Linked DNA regions of Yarrowia lipolytica. The protein of the gene in region 1 purifies or fractionates together with the protein of each later gene. This does not show direct contact. Links are inferred from orthologs where the notes say so. Each region holds a gene or a part of one and is shown on either strand. Other genes may lie near its edges.

Evidence for each region.
Region 2: the proteins of YALI1_D21702g (region 1) and YALI1_F02794g purify together in Saccharomyces cerevisiae (affinity purification with mass spectrometry; 3 studies listed by BioGRID). This does not show direct contact. The link is inferred for Yarrowia lipolytica from reciprocal best matches to the Saccharomyces cerevisiae genes GCN1 and KAP104.

What each region holds. Positions count from the first base shown.
Region 1 is NC_090773.1:2,168,665-2,173,497, reverse strand, and holds the start of YALI1_D21702g (uncharacterized protein), read right to left. Parts: upstream 3,264-4,833; coding exon 3,180-3,263; intron 2,737-3,179; coding exon 1-2,736. UniProt on the Saccharomyces cerevisiae protein: Ribosome collision sensor that activates a translation quality control pathway when a ribosome has stalled during translation. Directly binds to the ribosome and acts as a sentinel for colliding ribosomes.
Region 2 is NC_090775.1:276,090-281,336, reverse strand, and holds YALI1_F02794g (uncharacterized protein), read left to right. Parts: upstream 1-1,851; coding exon 1,852-4,566; downstream 4,567-5,247. Other genes in the region: YALI1_F02758g (uncharacterized protein), read left to right, coding at 5,092-5,152. UniProt on the Saccharomyces cerevisiae protein: Functions in nuclear protein import as nuclear transport receptor. Serves as receptor for arginine/glycine-rich nuclear localization signals (rg-NLS) and PY-NLS in cargo substrates. Its predominant cargo substrate seems to be mRNA-binding proteins.

The DNA.
Region 1 (4,833 bases):
AAGCTTGGCCTTGGTGGGAGTGCTCTTCATGAGCTGAATGAGGGCGCTCATGATTTCAGATCGAGGAGTAATCACGTCGGCAAAAGCAGAGGTGTGACAAGTGACAATCTCAATGGCAAGATGCGTTTGCTCCTCAGCCACGTCCTTGTCACGAGACTGGTTCTTGAGCACAAACAAGACAATGGGAAGCACGAAAATCAGAGAAATAGCGTCAAGAGGAGAAGACATGGCCACAGAATGAATCTTGTACAGCACCCGCGTGATGAGAGAGTCACGTGACTCCTTCTGGAGGTCCTCGCTCACGTGATTACCATACATTCTGAGCAGGCAGACGGCCAGGAAGGGTCTAATGGAACCCAGCTTGTCGTTGGTGATCCAAGACATGTCCGTGAGAGTCTTGGTCACGTGACTGGAACAAAGCACATCCACGTTGGGGTGTCTGAGGAGCTCGAGCATGAGCGTCATGGCCGGTCCAAACCACGTTTCTTTGCCGTTATCAACCGTCATGGCTTCCTTGGAGAGGGCGGAAATGATGCCCATGAGCCGGGTCACGTGATCTGCGACTGCGGTGACCTCCGTTCTAATTTCTGCCTCCTTCTTCATCTGTTCGTCTACCTTGATTTGTTCCTCCTTGGTGTACTTTGGCTTTTCGACAACACCCTTCTTCTTTTGGAGCTCCTTCTTGAGGTTTTCTTCCCACAGCTTGTCCTGGTATTCCTTGGAGTTTTTGTGAGCCACACGCTCCGTTCGCTTGATATCGAAAGCCAGTTCGTCAGCGGGAGTGTTGAAGATGGTCACGGCCTCAGTGGTGACACAGGAGAGGTTCGAAACAGAGAACTGCTCGGCAACCTCACCAGCAAAGACGTCAGGAGCAATGAAACAGACTGTAGCGATGGTAGGATAGAGGTTGGAGGAGGCAGCCGAAGACAGAATCGACTTGACATGCTTCTCATTGTCCAACAACAACTTTCGGGGGTCTCGAGATGCTCCCAGAACGGACTCAATCCACAGTCCGACGCCACACAGTACCTCTAGCCCATCGACAAGAGCCTTGTCGCAGTTGTTCTCGGCACTAAACAGCGAGTAAAGCAACTTGGAGTACTTTCTCTCGCTGACGTGGGTGTCAGAAATTCCAGAAATGACAGCCCCAGCCAGACCATCCGAGTAATTGCTCCTCAGAGCGGGACCAACCAATCTAGAGCAGTCAACGTCCACCTTGACCTCGGAGTCGCCATAAGCATAGAAGAAGATGGTCTTACCAAAGTCGGGGGCATTGTCAGGGTTAACCTCCTTGAACAGCGACTCCAGAGCCTTGAAACCAGTGACAAATTCGCCTGCACTGAGTTTGGTGTACACTCGAGGAGATAGAGCCAGTTCCAGAGCCTTGTCAGATTTTACAGCTTTTCCAGCCTTGGTGAGCAGGTAAACAGCTCCAAGACCAGAAATCGCACCCTTGACGATGGTGGAAGAAGCGAGAATCTTCTCCAGCTCACCTGTCACGTGCTCAGCGTGTTGGGGGAAGTTGACCAGCTGTAGAACCCAGGTCTTGACGACGCCAGCGTTGGAGTCAGACAGTCCAGAAGAGAGAGTCTTAGCCTGATCAGGGGAAAAGTGGACCAAAAAGGCACGTGACAGAGCAGTCAGGGCAATCTCGTTCTTCTCCTTGGTAACCACAGGAGCAAGGGCGGCAGACAGAGAAGGATCGGTCACGTGACAGCCAGCAATAGCGTTTCCATAGGCCACTTTTTGCTCCAACACAGTCACCTTAGACACAGTCTTGGCCAACTCGGAGTAGAGGGTCTCGTGAGAGATAGCACAGGCCACTCCGATGCATGTGACAGCTCCATCTCGAGTGAGCTGATTGGAAGACTTGAGACATGTGACCAGGGAAGCGGAAATGCCGTCAACCAGCTTCTTTGCTGACTCATCGTCTTTATCGAGACTCTCTAGCAACAGGGGAATTGCGTACTCGAGAACAGACTCGGGAGACCTCAGAATCGACTTCTTGGTGGCATCAAAGATATCAGCCGCGACCTTGGACTTTTGGTCACGAGACAGGTTGCCAAAGTATCCCGTGCAAAACTGTTTGGTGGCGTTTTTGCAGGGCAGAACCTTGGCGCCGAGCACGTTGGCGCCGTAAAACTGCGAGTAGGCTGAAAGATCCAGCTGCTCAAAAGTTTGAGGAGCATTTTCAGCGCATGCAGATGCTAGACAGCCCAGCAGAGCCGTAGACGTGGGGGTGCCTGGGAGGCATACGTTCAGCAGTTTGGTCAGAGCTCCGTTAGCTGTGATGCAGGCTGCAAACGCGGCTCGGGTCTGCCTCAGAGCGCTCTTGGCCATTCGCTCCCGGTTGCATGCTGAGCACAGGTCCACGAGCTCGGCCTGCATGGAAATGAGGTCCTTGAAGACAAAGTCGTTGAGCTCGGACCCGGCGTTGGTCAGGGAGAAGGACACAAAGTAGTTGGTCCACTCCAGCAGCACCATGAGGTTGTTTGTGGAGGACTTTTTGTAGATGGCAAACTGCTTGGCGAGCACGGGCACAACCTTTTGAAGGGCGGCAGGGTGTTCCTTTAGCAGCAGTTTCCACGTGTCGACTACCACGTCCCTCGATACGTGGTCGGAGTAGTGTGGAATAGTCTGAAAAAGAGCACTGAGGATAGACGGAAGGGAGTCGGGAGAGGACAGGAGCATTTGCTGTTCCTTCCAAAACTCCAGCCGGTCTTTGGTGGATGACATCTGGGTTAGTGAATGAATGGTTGTGCGTGACAAAAGAACACGAACCCGTCCAGCAATTGCACGGAAGCTGTATTTCTATTCTGAGCGTGGACAACAATCATCTATGAGCTCAGTAACGAGCGCACTATTAATGCACAGCGTCATTGGGGGTCAACAAGTGTTGAGAGTGAAGTCTTAGCTCGAGAGAACACATTTAGGAACGAGATAAGGCTTCAAAAGACATTGGGCATAGCACATGAGTCGACAAAGAGATAGACTTGGGTTCAATCCGCAGATGAAACCAGCAAGGCTCTGAGTGAGATCTGGAGTCTCTGAGACATCAGGAATTGCGCGCGACGGACAATCTGAGACTTGCACAAGAGACTTGCACAAGAGGATGCAGGCACGAAAGCGCAACAGGGACTTGGAGAAAAGCTCAATCAACTGGGGACCCCAAAACCAACTGATCCAGATGAGAAGACGATGACATGATGTGATAATGGACACGGAAGTAGATCACGATCCAGCCTGATCACACCGTGTATCATAGCTGTTCACTCTCCAGCTCGTTGTCACTGTGTCTGAGGATATGTGTCTTATCTTGGCTCTTCTCCAGAGCCCACCGATCAACCGGGGATTATGGTGAAATCTCACAGATGATCGCTTTGAGTATGAGGACTGAGTAATTGGTTAGATCTGTAGTTTGTTGATCTGTCTGTCTGAAGTTGTCTGAGTCGGTCTCTGCGTCATTCTCTCTATCTGTCTGTCTGTCTGAAACAATCCACATCTAATCCACACCAAGGTATCACGATAACCACCTGAAAATCCGAGTCCTGAGATCAGACAAGGTGACATGACTCCACACTCTCCAGAACAAACCCTTCAACGGACCAACCAACCAGTCACCAATATCATTCTAGAACTGGCCAATGTCGCTCACAATTCGCTCCTCACACACATCTCTCCATCGCCCACATCTCTCGCTCACCCCTTCACTCTCAGTACCTCTCATAACCCTCTATAACCACCTCATTAACCATCGTGTATAACTCACCATAATTGTCTGTGTTAGTGTTGTTCTGGTTTGAGCCACACTCTCCGTGTCATTCCCCCCAGTCCCCTTCTCGTACTCACTGTATTCAACAGCTGCGATGGCCTGTATAATCCTCAAAGTCCAAACTTGTAATTTGTATGTGATCCGACATCTTTGCTTCAAATGCAGGTGTGACACTTTTTCATGGGTTAGGGCGGGAAACGGGAGGTTAGGGTTGTGGGGACCCCAGGATGTGATAGAAATGCAGACATGTTGTCGGCGGTGAGATATATAGATTGATCACTGCTTAGTGAATACAACAATCTACTTTATATTTGTCGAAGACTCTTCTCCATCTAATTCTGGGTCACGTCCCTCATAAAACCGCATCTCGAGATGCTATCACAATGATAATGGTACCATCGTGACCGCTAGAACCGGGGGATTCTGATGATAGTACGATTTCACTCTCTGATATCCATACTGGACGTTTCACGTCATTCAGTCATATCTTGCACAACAAACCGGCTTTAAAGTCCGGTGAAAAATCTGAACTTTCCAACATTAAGTTTCAGCAGCTTCATTCTACAGATTACGAGTATTATTGGACACTGCAACTACTCGTCATAGCTTAAAATACAGCTAATATCGATTGTTATCTCTTTTCAACACCCTACGAACCACCATGGACCCATCCACAATTTTCGGTCAGATCACATCTCTTGCCTTATTTAAGGTTTGGAACTCGTCTTGGTGAAATAAAATTAAACTGTAAACTCAAGTTACCCGGCCTCTGCGAAATATAAAAACCACCGTTTCACACCTACAAACGGCAACTAAACCGGCCAGTGATGAACGACGTTGTTATTCCGTGCCAGATCTCTTTACGAGAGTCGCGTGACATACCATCATGCGACTGAAGGGCGCTGTGGATCAAAACCCGCGTCTCAACCACCACATGGGGTCTTTTGCCAATCTGAGGCTGGTTTAGTTGACTACAGTTGGTATTTAGTCAAGTCAGGACATTTTGTCAAGTGCATAGTTAGAATTTGGTAAGGCAGTATAGTGGAGGCTGATTACCAGTC
Region 2 (5,247 bases), on another chromosome or scaffold:
AGACGCAATAGAAGCTCGCACCTATGGCAGAGATGTCTCATTCGGTATTCTACGATGCAGTAGCTGCAAGTAGGCTTTCCGATATACTGTATCTTTGCCTTGTATCATTCATGAGAACCTTGTTGAGTTGTTGGGGTTGATTCAGTGATCACTATATCCAGGGCTTGTACAAGTAGACGGCTTGGGGATAACACAAAGGCATATGTACAGTCGTTCGTGTTGCAGCTGTTACCCCGCTCTTATCTACAGCGATTTCGTTTGCGTGACAGTTGTTTACAACGCCATTTTTTGTGATTGATTTGGCTCGCTGGTTGCAACTGATTTGGCTCATCTTGATATCAGGGTCCGATATAGGATGTACAAGTACAAGTACAAGTAAAAGCGTGACCAGAGTGTTTGGAGAGTCTGTGGCCTGGGTGGTCAATTTGAGTCATAGTGACCGATCATTAGACAAATTCAACAAGCTCTTCCTTTCCTAATGGGTTCAATCAACGTGATAATGTCACCGTCATCACGTTGCACCTCTTTATCTCGTTTGTTCAAATAAACTCATAGACGCGAAAGTACGACCCGTCCCGAGAACCGAGGTAGGCTTGGAAAAGGCAACTTGAGACAATAAAAGGGCTTGTTAGACAGAAGAAGACGAGTGGGGTTGTCTAATTGGGCACCGCCGTCGTTTCTGAGACCAGCCTTGTTTCATTTTACTGTATTGTAGCTACTTGTTCATAGGTGGTTATTGTATTGCCGCGTTCTTGCCAAGACCATGGCGAGTGAGAACTATCGTACTCGTATAATGGAAGTACTTGTATGGGTGCTGTGAAATTGTGCCGGCATGGTTGGAAAACAGACCAGTGACGTGAATTTATTGATTACTCATTGAGCCGTCTACAAGCACTTAATACGGTACTTGAACGAGCTCTCGTCTCGTAATTGTCCTCTCCTGACGACGCTGAATACAGAACCGGGGGTAACTTGACTCTCATGTGAGACAAGTCAACGACTCGAACAAGCACAAGTCGTACGTATTACAGTAATACAAGTACAGTAGCTGACCGTTGAATGACATGTGGATATGAAACAAGCGAAACGTAGATCTTCATACCAGGACAATCGTAGGTGTCAGATGGCGTAATCATCAACATGATAGAGGTCTCCACTCGGAGTCGCCCCAGCAACAAGACACTCACACACACACACACACACACACACAGCATGTATGCACCGTGTCGATCAAAGGGTTCTTTTGAAAGTGAAAGTGCCTGTACCTTGTACGAGTACAGGAAACAATCAAGTCGTGATAACAGGTCCTTGTGGCATGGGGCCAAGTCACTGCGCATCAGCTTGTCTTTGTGACTAGCTTGTTGTCAATTTCCCCTCCTTGGGCCGCGCATGTGTATAGCACTCGTATGATGGCCAGAGGGCTTTGCACGTGAAGGAGACGGGTAAATATCAAATGCGCTGGACACAGGGAATGCTCAACAAATCACCAAGTAAATAGTCAAGTAAGAGTATGCATTATTGAAAGATATACACCACCACCCAGGAATAGAGGTTCCACAAAAGTGGCAAAATATGAGACAAACTAAAGATTTTAAGGGCTGAATCAATAGAAACACATGACATAAAACAGTCTCCTTCACTCCCCTTACCACCAGTTGTTGGTATCACCTCTTATTGACCACCCGTTCCCATCCCGACCCCCTTAACACTCCTCCCACACAAGTCCCAACCTGATGGCACGTGCAGGGAAACTTTTCAACCTTATTGCTGCCATCTGTCTTCTTCACTACAGTTGCAACGATCAGTGCACCACACCCCAAACAGCATTTAACACCGACACTGTGAGAAAAAATGTCCTGGGAACCGCAACCCCAAGTCCACGCGCAGCTCCTGGAGGTGCTGCAGAACTCGCTGCGGGGCAATAACGCCGCCCAGCGCCAGGCCACCCAGCAGCTTAGAGAGGCCCAGGCCCAGCCTGACTTTGCAAACTACCTCATGGCGGTGTTGATTGACGACAAGGCTGGCCCGCTCGACGTGCGGTCCTCGGCCGGACTGTTGCTTAAAAACCTGATTAGATTCGACTTCAAGGATCTCAACGATGCCGGCAAGACGTACGTCAAGGCCCACGTCTTCACAGCCCTGGTGGAGCCCGCCAACATCATCCGAAACACGGCAGGAACCATTGTGGCGTCGCTGATGCAGCGGGAGGGAATCAGCGGGTGGCCCGACGGGCTGACTACACTCATGGGCCTGGCCGAGAGCTCGGACGCGAACGCCCAGCTCGGAGGAATGGACGCCCTGTCCAAGATCTGCGAAGACATGCCCGTGGAGCTGGACCAGACATACGGCAGCCAGCGGCCACTGGAGTACATGGTGCCCAAGTTTCTCGAGTTTGTCCGGTCGCCCGACTCGTCGCACCAGAAGCGAGTGCAGGCGCTCACCTGTCTCAACCACATTGTCGAGGTTGAGAGCCGATCCATTGCTAGCCGAATGGACGAGTATCTGGAGATCTTGTTTAGTCTGGCCAACACGCCCGATGTGGAGACCCGAATCCAGATCTGCAATGCCTTCACCGGAATCCTGCGAACCAACGCCGAGAAAATTGCACCCCATCTTGGAGGAGTCATTCAGTACGCCCTCCATTGCATCTCTGCCTCCGAGGAGGGCGACACTCTGGACTTCCAGGCTTGCGAGTTCCTGTTGCTGCTGACTGAGCTGGACCCCAACCCGGAGGCGCTGTCGCCGCATCTTGGGGACCTTGTTCCTGCTGTTCTTCGAGCCATGGTCTACTCCGAGACAGACGTGTTCATGCTGGAGGGCATCAACGAGGACGATGCCGACGTGGCCGACCGAGAGGAGGATCTCAAGCCCATCAACTTCCGACAAAAGGCCGCCCACGGCAACAAGAAAAACGAGGCTGAGGGACAGGAGCCCGATGAAGACGAATCTGACGATGAGGAGGACGACGAGGTGCGAGGCCTGGAGGCCTGGAATTTGCGAAAATGTGCCGCCTCCACTCTTGACCGACTTTCTAACATTCTTCCCGAGGAGGTTCTTGAAGCTGCAATGCCCTACCTCAAGCAGACCATTGTCTCTGACGAGTGGCCTGCCAGAGAAGCTGCCATTCTGGCCTTTGGAGCCATTGCTGATGGATGCCAGGATATGGTCGCTCCTCATCTGCCCGAGCTGGTGCCCTTCCTGATTCAGCGATTGTCTGACCCTCAATTCCCCGTTCGACAGGTTTGTTGCTGGACCCTGGGCCGGTTCTCAACCTGGGTCTGCGAACAGAGCATGTCCGAGCAGGACACTTACTTCATCCCCACGCTTACAGGTCTCTTTACATGTGCCCTGGACCGAAACAAAAAGGTGCAGGTTGCCGGCTGTTCTGCCGTGGCCACCTTCACTGACGAGGCCCGAAACATGCTGACTCCATACCTCGGCCAGATTCTCGAGCAGTTTGCGCTCTGTTTCCGACGCTACCAGAAGAAGTCGCTGCTGTTCCTGTACGACGCAGTTTCGACTCTGGTCAAGTATTGCGGCGCCGAAATTGCCGAAAACCAACAATACATGGAGACTCTGATGCAGCCTCTGATTGCCAAGTGGGAGCAGATTAGCGACGACGACAACGCCCTGTGGCCACTGTTTGAGTGCATGTCTGCCGTGGCCTCGTACATGGGCCCTGCATTTGAGCCCTATGCTCCCCCTGTGTTTGACCGATGCGCTCGTCTGCTGCACTCGTGCTTGGTTCAGGATCAGAACTTTTCCAACGACCCGTCCCAGGATCCTGCCGAGCGAGACTTTATGGTGACTGCCATTGATCTTGTCGACGGTCTGGTGCTCGGTCTCAAGGACAAGGCAGCTCCCTTGATGATGAACAGCGAGCCCCCATTCATGGAGCTGCTTCTTGTGTGCTGCCATGACGAGTTTGACGTGCGGCAATCGACATTTGCGCTCATTGGAGACATGGCCGCCCTGTGCCCCCAGCCATTGGAGCCCTACATGGATCAGTTGATGGAGGAGCTGCTCAACCAGGTCGAGTACAACCACATTTGGCCTGATGCCGTCAGCAACACTTGCTGGTCACTGGGAGAGATTGCTCTTCGATTCGGCGACAAGCTGCGACCTCTTCTGCAGGCATCTGCTGCCGAGCGGCTCATTGCGCTTCTGCGAACCCGAGATGCATCGCCACGAGTTCTGGAAAACGCTTCGACCGCCATTGGCCGAATCGGCATTACCATGCCCGACATTTTCGCGCAGCGAATCCCAGACTTCATCATTGCCTGGTGTCTCAACATGCATGACGCCATGGACAACAGCGAGAAGGAAAGCGCGTTTGTGGGCATGTGCACCATCATCTCGTCCAACCCCCAAGCCCTCGACAACTCCACCCTGCTCATGTTTGTGAATGCCGTGGCCCGATACCTGGAGCCTAGCGAAGCGCTGATGCACACCTTTCGACAGGTGCTGGGTGGCCTCAAGGGCATGCACCCCAATTTTGACAAGGACGTGACCGAGCAGCTGCCTCCCATCATCCAGAAGCGACTGCGTGACGTCTACGGCGTTTAAACTAGACTGTACCAACTACAAGCATGTACACTCCATAGCTACAATCACTTAATCATGCCTGGTGCGGTGGAGAAACGGCTCCCACGGATTAATAGAGCCATAGAGAAATCAAACGATAGATGTATAACAATGACATCAAGAGTATGAACATGTCCTTGTAGAGATGTATGTTGAGGAGTATCGCCTACAAGATTTGTACAAATATATCAATAAGCAGCATCCAATCATAAATCCAGAATGTATGCTTTTCGGGTTCATCATGTTATCGTCAGTTATCATCTCGTTTTACTGTCTCCATATTGTCCCCATATTGTCTCATCATTCAGCTTGCTGCTGACACTGAACCATGCATATTGGAAGTGTTCCATTCGCCCACAATAAGCTTTGCTCCCAGCACACCACAGTGATGCTCCCCAGGGTTACCCTACCGTTCCTCCCAACAGCCAATGGAATCACACGGGTATCTTTCAAAGCCAAAGCTCACGAAAATCATCTCACCTTCACTAACTAAACACATCTATCAAAATGGGAGGCAACGGACACTACATGGGATGGTGGGGACACATGGGCTCCCCCCCTCAGAAGGGTGAGTACAAGAAGACAGGATGAGGCCTTGCGTTATTTATTGGACGCTATTCGACACGCGATGAGGGCTTCAGGACAACAATGGTGCGTGATGAT